Sus scrofa: one gene and its partners. The protein of the gene in region 2 purifies or fractionates together with the protein of the main gene of each other region. This does not show direct contact. Links are inferred from orthologs where the notes say so. Each region holds a gene or a part of one and is shown on either strand. Other genes may lie near its edges. The genes, in order: OTUB1, SLC7A11 and CD44.

Region 1 (2,420 bases), on a different chromosome or scaffold from region 2:
TGTGCCAGGGGAAGTGAAGAGAGGAAGGCAACGCAGACACCGCGGCCCAAGCAGAGGGGATGCAAAGCAGGCACAGGCAGGGGGTGGTGGGGTGGGGGAAGAACGGGGGCCTGGCCAGCCCCGCTAGACTCCGGGAAGGACAGACTTGAGGACAGCCCTCCCCCGCCCGGAGGGCAGCACCTGGGGTGCACTAGGGTGGCCCAGCTCCTCCGCCTACCCTGAGCCAGGCCGCACCCTCAGGCCAGCCCTCTCCACCATGCAGACCCCTGATGGAGAGCAGGTGGCCGGGGAGGCCAGGGCAGCAGGGCGGAGGCGTGGCCTATGAGGGCAGAGCTGGAAGCCTTGGTGGTCCTGGGGCTCTGGGCCAGTCTCCAAGGAACTTCCAAATTCCCCTGGAAGGCCTGGCTGGCTAAGGAGGGCAGGGGCAGAGGCCTGAAGGGAAGGAAGCAGAGGCCCAATAACCAGGAGGGGTCCCCAAGAGGCCTAGCCCCCTCAAAACTACTCCTGGCGGGGAGGCTTGGGGGTGGACAGGTGGAAGGCTGAGAGGAAGCCACCTGAGGGGGGTGGGGCAGCCAGACAGAGAGCAGCCAGGAGGGCAGCAGCAGAGCAGGGACACGCACACACGCGGCTCACCACCAGCGTCCCCTTTAATAAAACATGGAAGGTCGTGTGACAGGGAAGGGCGTGGGGGGTGAAGTACGACCATTTACAACCACAAAAAAAACCTCTGTACATGTCTAGTGCCTGGCAGAGGGGAGGGCAGGCAGGGCGGCGGCAGGCCGGGCCAGCCCTATTTGTAGAGGATGTCGTAGTGTCCAGGCCGGTAGAGAAGGTAGACCTTGGGCTCGGAGCCCTCGGGGAAGATGTGGGGGTTGGTGGTGCCGCCCTCGCCGCGGTCCATGTACTCCACCTGGATGGAGACGCTGAGCGCCTGGGCCAGCGCGATGATGTGGATGTGGTCGCTCTCCTTGCACATGGGCTCCACCTCCTGCAGCACAGGGGCCGCTCAGGGCCTGGGTCTTGGCGCCTCCGCACCCCCAGCCACCCGGTGCACCCCCGGGCCCCGAGGCTCCCACCCTGAGGCCCCAGTGAGTCTGGGGAGCGGGGAGGGGGCAGCACCTGCTGGCAGAACTCCTTGACGGTCCGCCCACCCTCGATGAAGTGCTCGAAGAACTTGCTCTCGCGCTGCAGGTAGCCCGAGGTGAGCAGCCGCAGGTAGACCACCAGGTAGTCCGAGGTGCTCTGGTCGTTGAAGGAGGCCAGCAGGTCGGCCACTGAGGTCTGCTTCTCCACCTGCTCGATTAGGTCCATGAACTGCCGCCCAAGGGGGACAGAGAGCAAGTGAGGGAGGAGATGGGCCGATGCTGCCTCGGCCAGGCCCCCCGCCCTCCACCCGGCCGAGAGGCTCACCGTGTTGTGGAAATCCTCAATTGTGAATTCGGTGAAGCCCTGGGACACCAGGTCCTCTTTGCTCTTAGCAGACACAGCCTTGAACCTGCAGCCGGGAGGGAAAGAGAGGCTGCGCGGGCTCCTCGGCCAGCAGAGAGGCCAGCTCAGAGGTGGGGGCCCGGGCAGCACGGGAACCGCACCTCCTGGTCCCCAGGAGGATGGAGGGAGCCCCTCGGGCCCTTCCTAGGACCCTGCCCCACCCGCCTCTTTGTGCTCGAGGGCCCGCCCTCCTCACCGCTGCAGCTCCTTGCTGTCATCCAGCAACGCCTCCAAGTGGGAGAAACCGAAAGCACGATAGAAGCAGTTTCCATCAGGCCTGGTCTTGCGGATGTACGAGTACTTTTTGTGGAGGTCCTGCGGAGAGGCAGCCCCCGCCCCACCCGGGCCCATCAACATCAGGCCAGAGCCAGGGCGGGCCGAGGAAACCGCCCTGACGAGGTTGCTCTACAGCAGGTGGCAACTAAGCTCCAAGCAGCCACCTGCCATCCTTGGCTGCTGACTCTGGTGATGCTACCAGGAGCCCCCAAAGCCTCAGGAAACTGACTTCTGGACACATAGGTTGCACGGGTCACCAGCGGCTGGGCAAGTGACTGAGTCCTTGATCAAAGCAGCTTTTCCAGGGAAGGACCTTTCACACTTGGAGAGCTCCAGGGCAGCGTGGTGCCCATGGCACAGCCTGGGGCTGGACACAGCCTCCCTCACCTCCTTCTAAGCTCTACCCCGCCCACCCTCAGGCACTGGCTCCATCTTTTCTGGTTCCCTCCCCAAACTCAGTGAAATTTCTTCTCTGTCTGTTGAACCTCCCTGTAGGAGTCAAGGCCTCACTCCCTCAGCCTAGGCGCCCTCCCCTTCTCCCCGACACCCATCTCATACCTTTTCTGTTCTCTTCAAACCCCCACCCACCTTGACCTTGCTTCCTTTTGGACTGAAGACTTCCCCTGAGAACCCCAGCCCCCACGGCACACCTGCCC
Region 2 (3,656 bases):
CCAGGCTAGGAGTGGAATCGGAGCTGTAGCTGCCAGCCTATACCACAGCCACAGCAACTCGGGATCCAAGCCGCGTTTGCAACCTACACCACAGCTCACGGCAACACCGGATTCTTAACCCACTGAGCAAGGCCAGGGATCAAACCCACAACCTCATGGTTCCTAGTCAGATTTGTTAACCACTGAGCCATGACGGGAACTCTGACCATGGGTGTTTTCAACGGAAGAGAAATATTAAAGTACCAAGGTATCTTGTTACCCCTCAAGTCATTCATTACTTTGCCCATGTGAAAGACCAACTAAGTAATGTGAGTCCAATATTACAAAGAAATATATGAACCCACTAAAAAAGCTTCCAGAATACACCTGGGTAATTTCTTCTGTAAACACATATACACTCTGTGAAGTAGCTCTCTTGTGATTAAAGTAGCATTTGATTATGAACTACTTGAGAATAGGAACCGTAGCTCACTCCACCATAAATCTCTTTAACTTGGTGTAAATCATTCAGTAGCAGTTTGTAGAATGAATGAATAAATGAATGAACACTGTATTGGTGCTACTATTGCAAAAGGAAGGATAATGGTCATCATAAGACCAAAGTTTGGCTAATTAGCCAATACAATGAGCCAATACATGACTGAAGAGGGACTCAAGTCCAGTTTGAGTCAGGCTCCAAAGCCTGCCCTCCTCACAGGCCAGCACTCTAAATAAGTAGCATATTCATTTGAAAGCTGAGCATGTTGTATTCAGCATATTACAACCTTAATCTTTCAGTCACTTATTCAAAAAGAGTTTAATATTTGACAATCAGGGCACTGAAATAAGTAGTATAAGGGTTACAAAAAGTACTTGAAATCCTTGCAGTTTTAACAGGGAAATGGCACAGATTCCTAAAATATTAAAGTAAGAATATAAGATACCATGTTCAGTGCCAAATGAGAAGCAGAGACTGCATTTTTTCAGAATAATTAAGAGAGGAAAGAAATACTATAAACTAGAGTGAACAGGTAATTAATGGTGGAAAAGATAGAATTTAAATTGACCTTTGAAGAGTAATATTCGGATTATTAGTAAGGAGTGGAAGACACATCCCAAGCAAATCTGAGATTTTAGAAAAGGAACAAAATAGCTCTTTATAATTATCTCATTATAATACGTTTTAAATAATGCACAATTGTTTAAGATGAGAACAGACTTAACAAAGAAGTAAATACTTTTCTAAACTCTTTGCTAAAAAAGAGACTCCTAGGGCTATAAAAACCAAGATTAGTGTTAAGTCAATACTTATTAGCTCTGCATTAGCCACTTAGTCCAAATGACAGGATAAAAGCTCACAGGAGCTCTCAACTGTGTAGGTCTGATAAGTTTACAGTAAGAGCAAGTTTCTCTAGTTACTTTTGTTAAACTCTGTAATCAGAATGTGCTAGGCACATTTCATGGAAGCTGTTTGCCTTAAGGATACGCCAAACTTCTCATGTGACATCATAAGTTTCCCACAAAGTTGGAGGAAATGTGCTATTCAGAGTGACTTAGCATTATTTGGTTTGATTTTAAACCAAGACAATCAGGAAGAGGAACATATTTTTACAACAATAAAATCAAAGCTTTTCGCTACTATAGTTCACTGGTTTGTTTAACGTGAGGATATGAGTCATTTATGACAAGTGAAGTTTTGTTTTTTTCCGTAATATAAAAGTTAGTGACATACTAAGTGGTGAGGAACAGAAGTTTCCTAGTCATGCAACGTGAGTAAACTAAAACGACTTAATAGTGTAATGTACAAGAAGAAAAACCCCAGTTCCTAGCATAACACTTAATTTTGTCTAATTATGATTTATAATCAAACAAAATGTCTGATTTATCAAGGCAGATTTTGATGCTTCACATTCTTTTCAGGTCAACATCTTTCCTGAAAATGTCATAGAGAATAACTGAATACTAACACAGAGTAGATGCTTTAAAAGTTTGGCATAGGTAGCAAACTACTGCCAGTGGCAAAACTGCATGAAATAAAAACCTTGAGAAAGGTATTTCATTACAGATTTTATGTCTGAAAGTAGATGTGCTTACCACATAGTCACATGACATGCATATTTCTAATTACATGAAATAATCAAGGTGATTCAAAACAGCATATAATGAGTAAGTTTATTTTTCCTTAATGCTTTCTATCTAGGTTCTTACCGTATTATGAGCAGTTCTACCCAGACTCGCACAAAAGCTGGTAATGGTCCGAAAACTTCCAGAATATATGTGTAGTGACCACCAGATTTCTTTATGCTTGTTCCCAACTCAGCATAGGACAAGGCTCCTGTGAAATATTTATAATAAAAAGACGCAAAGTTAAAATATTACCAAGTCATCCAGAAGTAGAATGCATTCAACGTTTATGTTGTGTGAAATGCTACTACACCTTTGGTCTGAATAACATCCTTTTTCAAAATAAATAGCAGTCATCCAATTCCAAAGAGTCTCCAAATTCATCTTGTTAACTTCCTCACATTTGAGATCTAGTTCATTCTACTCAAACAATGTAATTTTACTTAAAATAGCAAAGACAAACTTCTAAAACAATATCATATTATGAAGACTTTTCAATCTCGAACCTGGGAACAAGGGAAAAAGTGAAGACAAATGCCAAAAATACTAACATATTTTTTGAAGAACATAACTTCACATCAAGACAAGGAATTATCCCAAAAGGACTTCATTCTATTAAGATTCCTTTTAATAAATGATATTTCTGGGGTACATCAAAATAAGTAAGATTTATCTGCTTTCCAGAAAAGTATGGACTCAAGGCCTTGTAAGGCTTTACTTCATTTGTGGGATATGTTTTGCTTGTCAACAAAATGAATTTTAACTCAGATATTCTACTTTTAGGAAAGTTTTTCCTGGATGTTTTTGAAGAATATACTCTGGGTGGTTGAAATAACATAAAAACCTCTTTAAAAAGAAGAGCTATAACATTAATGTACATTAGGTAAAATTAACTACAGATCAAATATTAACATTTAGCAATAAAATTCACATGGACTTGAGCAAGTTACATAACCTCCCAAAACCTCAGGTTCATCATCTATAAAATTAAAGATCATAATTATTACCTCATTAGAGGTTTGTATGTATAAATATGAAAATATGTGCCAAGGACAGTACCTGGGCCTGACACACAGAAAACACCTCATGAAATATAGCAATACGTATTGATGTGAGCAATTATAAAGAAAATGGAAAATATATCTTGATGTTATGTGAAAAGTTCTATCCATACTGCTAAGTACTTAAATGTAAGACCTAATTTCTGCCTTAGCTACTTTGGAGACTAAAAGTGTGGCAAATTATTACTAATCAGTAAAGCTTCAGGTAGAACAGTCCAACATTAATATATTTTGGATATTCCACAAAATCTTACTGTTATTTATCCTATTCTTAAAACTAGTACTGTATCTGAATCACCTGGGAGGACTTTTATTTAAAATAAGAACAAATGCTAAGGCCATATCCCAGAACTACTCTCTAACCAAGAGAGACCAGAGTCTCCAGTAGAGGCATCCAAGTAGGTCCAATATTTTAAAATTTGCACAGCTAATTCTAGAGTAACTAGCCTACAGATTGATATTTGCAGATCACCGATACAGTTTGTCTAGTTT
Region 3 (3,656 bases), on a different chromosome or scaffold from region 2:
CGGAAACTCCGGAAGATTGCTTATTTGAGAGGGAAAAGAATTACATGCTCATGCTGGGTGCATGCCTAACTTAATTGAATAAGTCATTTTTGGTCATCTCTTTGCCATCACAAGAGAAATGGTGCCTGCTCATTAACAGTAGACTAAATCATCAAGTTTTAAGTGTGCACCATAACTAGAAGAAGTTACCCACCAGCCCTTCACCAAAAGTAAAATTCACCAATCCATCACCAATAAAAGAGAATAATTTCAGAGCAAAGACATCAGTATACAGAAATTATTCACAAGATGGGTAAAACCCTGCTACATAGGCAGCATATATTAGTTGAATCAAATGGAATTGCTAATACTGGACTACTTTTACTCACAAAAATATCCGTTTCATATGGTTCACTAAATATGTCACAAGATCAGGAACAAGAAAAAGAAAGAAACTCTACCATAACAACCAAGTCACAAAAAACAGAGATTACATGGGCACATAAAAACATTATTTAAAATAAATGTTGACTTGCACTAGAATGATGATGTGTGATAAAAACCATCCCCATGTCACAAATCCATCTCATCGTAGCCTACACAGAAGTGATCCCTAAGTATGAAAGTATGTGTTGCTTCTCCCTCTAGAAAGCAAACCAGATAACAAACGGCCAAATTACCTGATGAGGAAAGATCAACATTAGAGGTGGAATCTCCAACAATAGTAACTTCAGTAACTCCAGGGGACCCAGTCTTGGTAGGGGTCACCAGGATGAGGGTTCTATATTCATTTGTGTCTGGAGAATGAAGAGTATAACCTTCCACGGACGTAGCTGAGTCTTCAGGAAGACTTCCACCTCTTCTTCCACTTCTGCCATCATTCCTATCTGTGCGGAGGTGGAATCAATGGTAAACCCACACCCGTAAGACCACTACCCATCATGTGCTGGTTTTCAGAATGTGCAATTGCTGCAAAAGCTTTCCACTTGTTCTTCGTGAACACGGAGCGGTGAGCAGTGCAGTTTGCTACACTACTGAACAGAATCGATATTTTGCAATCAACACCAACTGGGTATCACTCAATGGAAGAGATTTTGGTGATCCTAATACTCAGAAGAGACATTTGGTGCAACACCTGCCTGGGTTTATTAAAATAAGGTTTATGCCACCAGAACTGTTACTTTAACGTCAATGCAGGTACTAGATAATCTTGACTATTATCAGCTGGATCCACCTTTGATGAAGTGGAAGAAACACGTACGTTACTGAATTGAAAGGCAAAATTTTGCTACCTGCCATTGGAAGCAAATGCAAAGCTTCAAAGACATGAGCCTTCGATTATTCTCTCCTTTGCCAGAGGGCACTGCTTCCTAGTCACCAGCACTATGGATTTATGGCCCAGAGGATAAATGGCAAAATAATACGAATGGAAGGAAAATAAGTGATATCATTCAGATCTTTTCCCCAATTATAAATCATATATAAGTGATTCGTTATTTTTAAATGAAGACACTAACTCTAGAGTTTGAGAAACCCAACCTTAAAAACATTTAAAAAATTAAGTTTGTACTTAATGCACAGAGGCTTCTATGAGATCTACAAAGCAAAGAAGGCAGAGAACCATCACCAGCCACACCTTCTGATCATAAGGAACAGCTTAACAACAGCCAGCTGATATAACTCCACCAAAGACACTGCAAAAGCACCGAGTTTATTGATTTTTTTTTCAATAGCTGAAGCCACCTGGGCTTTACAGTCCTTACTGCTAGATGTTGGAGTAGCAGCCACTGGATGGTCTTTGTCTTCTTCCAAGCCTCCATGTGATGTAGAAGAGCTCTGAGTATCACTCTGCTCTGTTTCAGTAAAGGATGAATCCAGTATTAATTTGAAGCCATGAAATAAACCCTCTGTTATCTGCTGATGGGGGTGGGGGAAATTTAGCTAGAGTCTGGTCATGGGTAGATACACAGGAATACCAAAGTTTGTGTACACCATCCTCCTTGATTGATTGACAGAAACGCACCAGGATATTCTGCCTTGCCCCCAACTGGCTTTGTCTTCCAGTATAATCAACAAGATAGAGGGCCAAGGTGAAATCACAGCCAAAACTTTGTTTCCCCCCCCACCACCGGATCATCCTGGCCCAGTGATAGCACTGCTTCCTGTTATTCCAGAAAACCAGACAACACACAGAGATAGAGAAAGGAACGTTTGGATCCAGTGTTCCCACCAACGTCAAGAGCACCTTAGCTGTGTGTCAGGAAGTGTGAGTGTAGCGAAAATAAACACCATCACAGCAGGTAGAACACTTGTAGCCACAAAAGAGGAAGACGTTCATGTAGAATAACCTGCTCAAGTAACTCAGATCAAATTTATAGAAGGAAACACTTAAGTCGCTTCAAAGAACATGAACTTCAGTTACCATGGTGCTCAAGTTTTAGGCTTTTGATCTCATCTCTGGATGAGGATTCTCATCACGGCCCTGAAACGCCAGGAGATGCTTGTCTGGGCAAACGCAGGGCCCTCACTGATAGGTTATCCATTTCAGGTTGAACCCTTGCCCATGTCCGAAATGGCTCTGACTGCTTTGAGTTCATTTCTTGAGCGTTCCTCTAAGAAAGGTACTGACCTCTGAGTTACAGGTGCAAGTATTCCATAGGGCACACCACGCCGCCAGGTCCACCACCAAGTGAATGCTACAACGGGAGAAAGACATTCACCCAACACCAAACCCAACATCAGAACAAACATCAACAGGGACATAAAGTAAGAATACAAGCCCCTCCATCGGCGGGGACCATATTTAAGCTTCTCTGCATCTCCTCTAATGCTTAACACTATGCTGTTTACATTCCTGACAATCAAGACACGCTTCCTGATTTTTCCCTTTGTCTCAAAGGGCTCACAGGAAAAAAACCTCTGCCCATTACAGGCAGCTAGCAGTGAAAGGAGGCCCTCTTCATTCTAGATTTCTTTCATCTCTGTCAAGAAAGTATGAATGATGGTGATCTCTAGGATAGCTGTATCTGTAGTTAGAGTGGACAGTAAATCTACTGGAAGTTTCACATTGTTTCTACCATATATTTAGTAATAGGGAGAGACATGAGCCCGTGTTCTTCTTTTGCTCCCAGGCCTGCCGCTTAGGTCACCTGTCAGCATGACTTGCTTCTCTGGGTGATGATTTCCCTACTCTCACGATTATCTGGCCCCCAGACAGCTTTTTACGACCATCGAGACAATCCTACCTCTCTTCAGCCTCGAGGAGAGATGGGAATCAAAAGGAGATGGTCCGTTAAACCATAGAGAACCCACTGTCCTCACCGTGGTCGTGGATTTCACGGACATAACTACTCAGAGAAGGAAAATCAAGAGGAATGGAGCCCCACAGCCTTTTTATTTGTGTGTTAACATGAAGTCATGGAATCTGGAAAGCACCAAGAGGAAGGGATGGTCAGATTTAAAGAACCACCAAGAACACACAATGAAGATGGCTTTTACGGCCTCAGCTTTTACAAGCCAAGCCACACCGCACCGCGTGGGCCATCCCGCCACCAATGAGAGCAAGAGCTGAAGCAGGAAGACAGGTCAAGAGGGAGACTGAAGGCTGTTATCCTTACGAGCTGTCACTGAAAGGGTCCTGTCCTGTCCAAGTCTTCCACCAAACCTGTGTGTGGATC

The links.
Region 1: the proteins of SLC7A11 (region 2) and OTUB1 purify together in Homo sapiens (affinity purification with western blotting; 5 studies listed by BioGRID, with this or other methods). This does not show direct contact. The link is inferred for Sus scrofa from reciprocal best matches to the Homo sapiens genes SLC7A11 and OTUB1.
Region 3: the proteins of SLC7A11 (region 2) and CD44 purify together in Homo sapiens (affinity purification with western blotting; 3 studies listed by BioGRID and IntAct, with this or other methods). This does not show direct contact. The link is inferred for Sus scrofa from reciprocal best matches to the Homo sapiens genes SLC7A11 and CD44.

What each region holds. Positions count from the first base shown.
Region 1 is NC_010444.4:8,087,896-8,090,315, forward strand, and holds the end of OTUB1 (ubiquitin thioesterase OTUB1), read right to left. Parts: intron 1,804-2,420; coding exon 1,685-1,803; intron 1,496-1,684; coding exon 1,411-1,495; intron 1,315-1,410; coding exon 1,120-1,314; intron 989-1,119; coding exon 791-988; 3' UTR 633-790; downstream 1-632. UniProt on the Homo sapiens protein: Hydrolase that can specifically remove 'Lys-48'-linked conjugated ubiquitin from proteins and plays an important regulatory role at the level of protein turnover by preventing degradation.
Region 2 is NC_010450.4:88,611,046-88,614,701, reverse strand, and holds part of SLC7A11 (cystine/glutamate transporter), read right to left. Parts: intron 2,315-3,656; coding exon 2,188-2,314; intron 1-2,187. UniProt on the Homo sapiens protein: Heterodimer with SLC3A2, that functions as an antiporter by mediating the exchange of extracellular anionic L-cystine and intracellular L-glutamate across the cellular plasma membrane.
Region 3 is NC_010444.4:25,814,539-25,818,194, forward strand, and holds part of CD44 (CD44 antigen), read right to left. Parts: coding exon 3,610-3,656; intron 1,850-3,609; coding exon 1,743-1,849; intron 867-1,742; coding exon 660-866; intron 1-659. UniProt on the Homo sapiens protein: Cell-surface receptor that plays a role in cell-cell interactions, cell adhesion and migration, helping them to sense and respond to changes in the tissue microenvironment.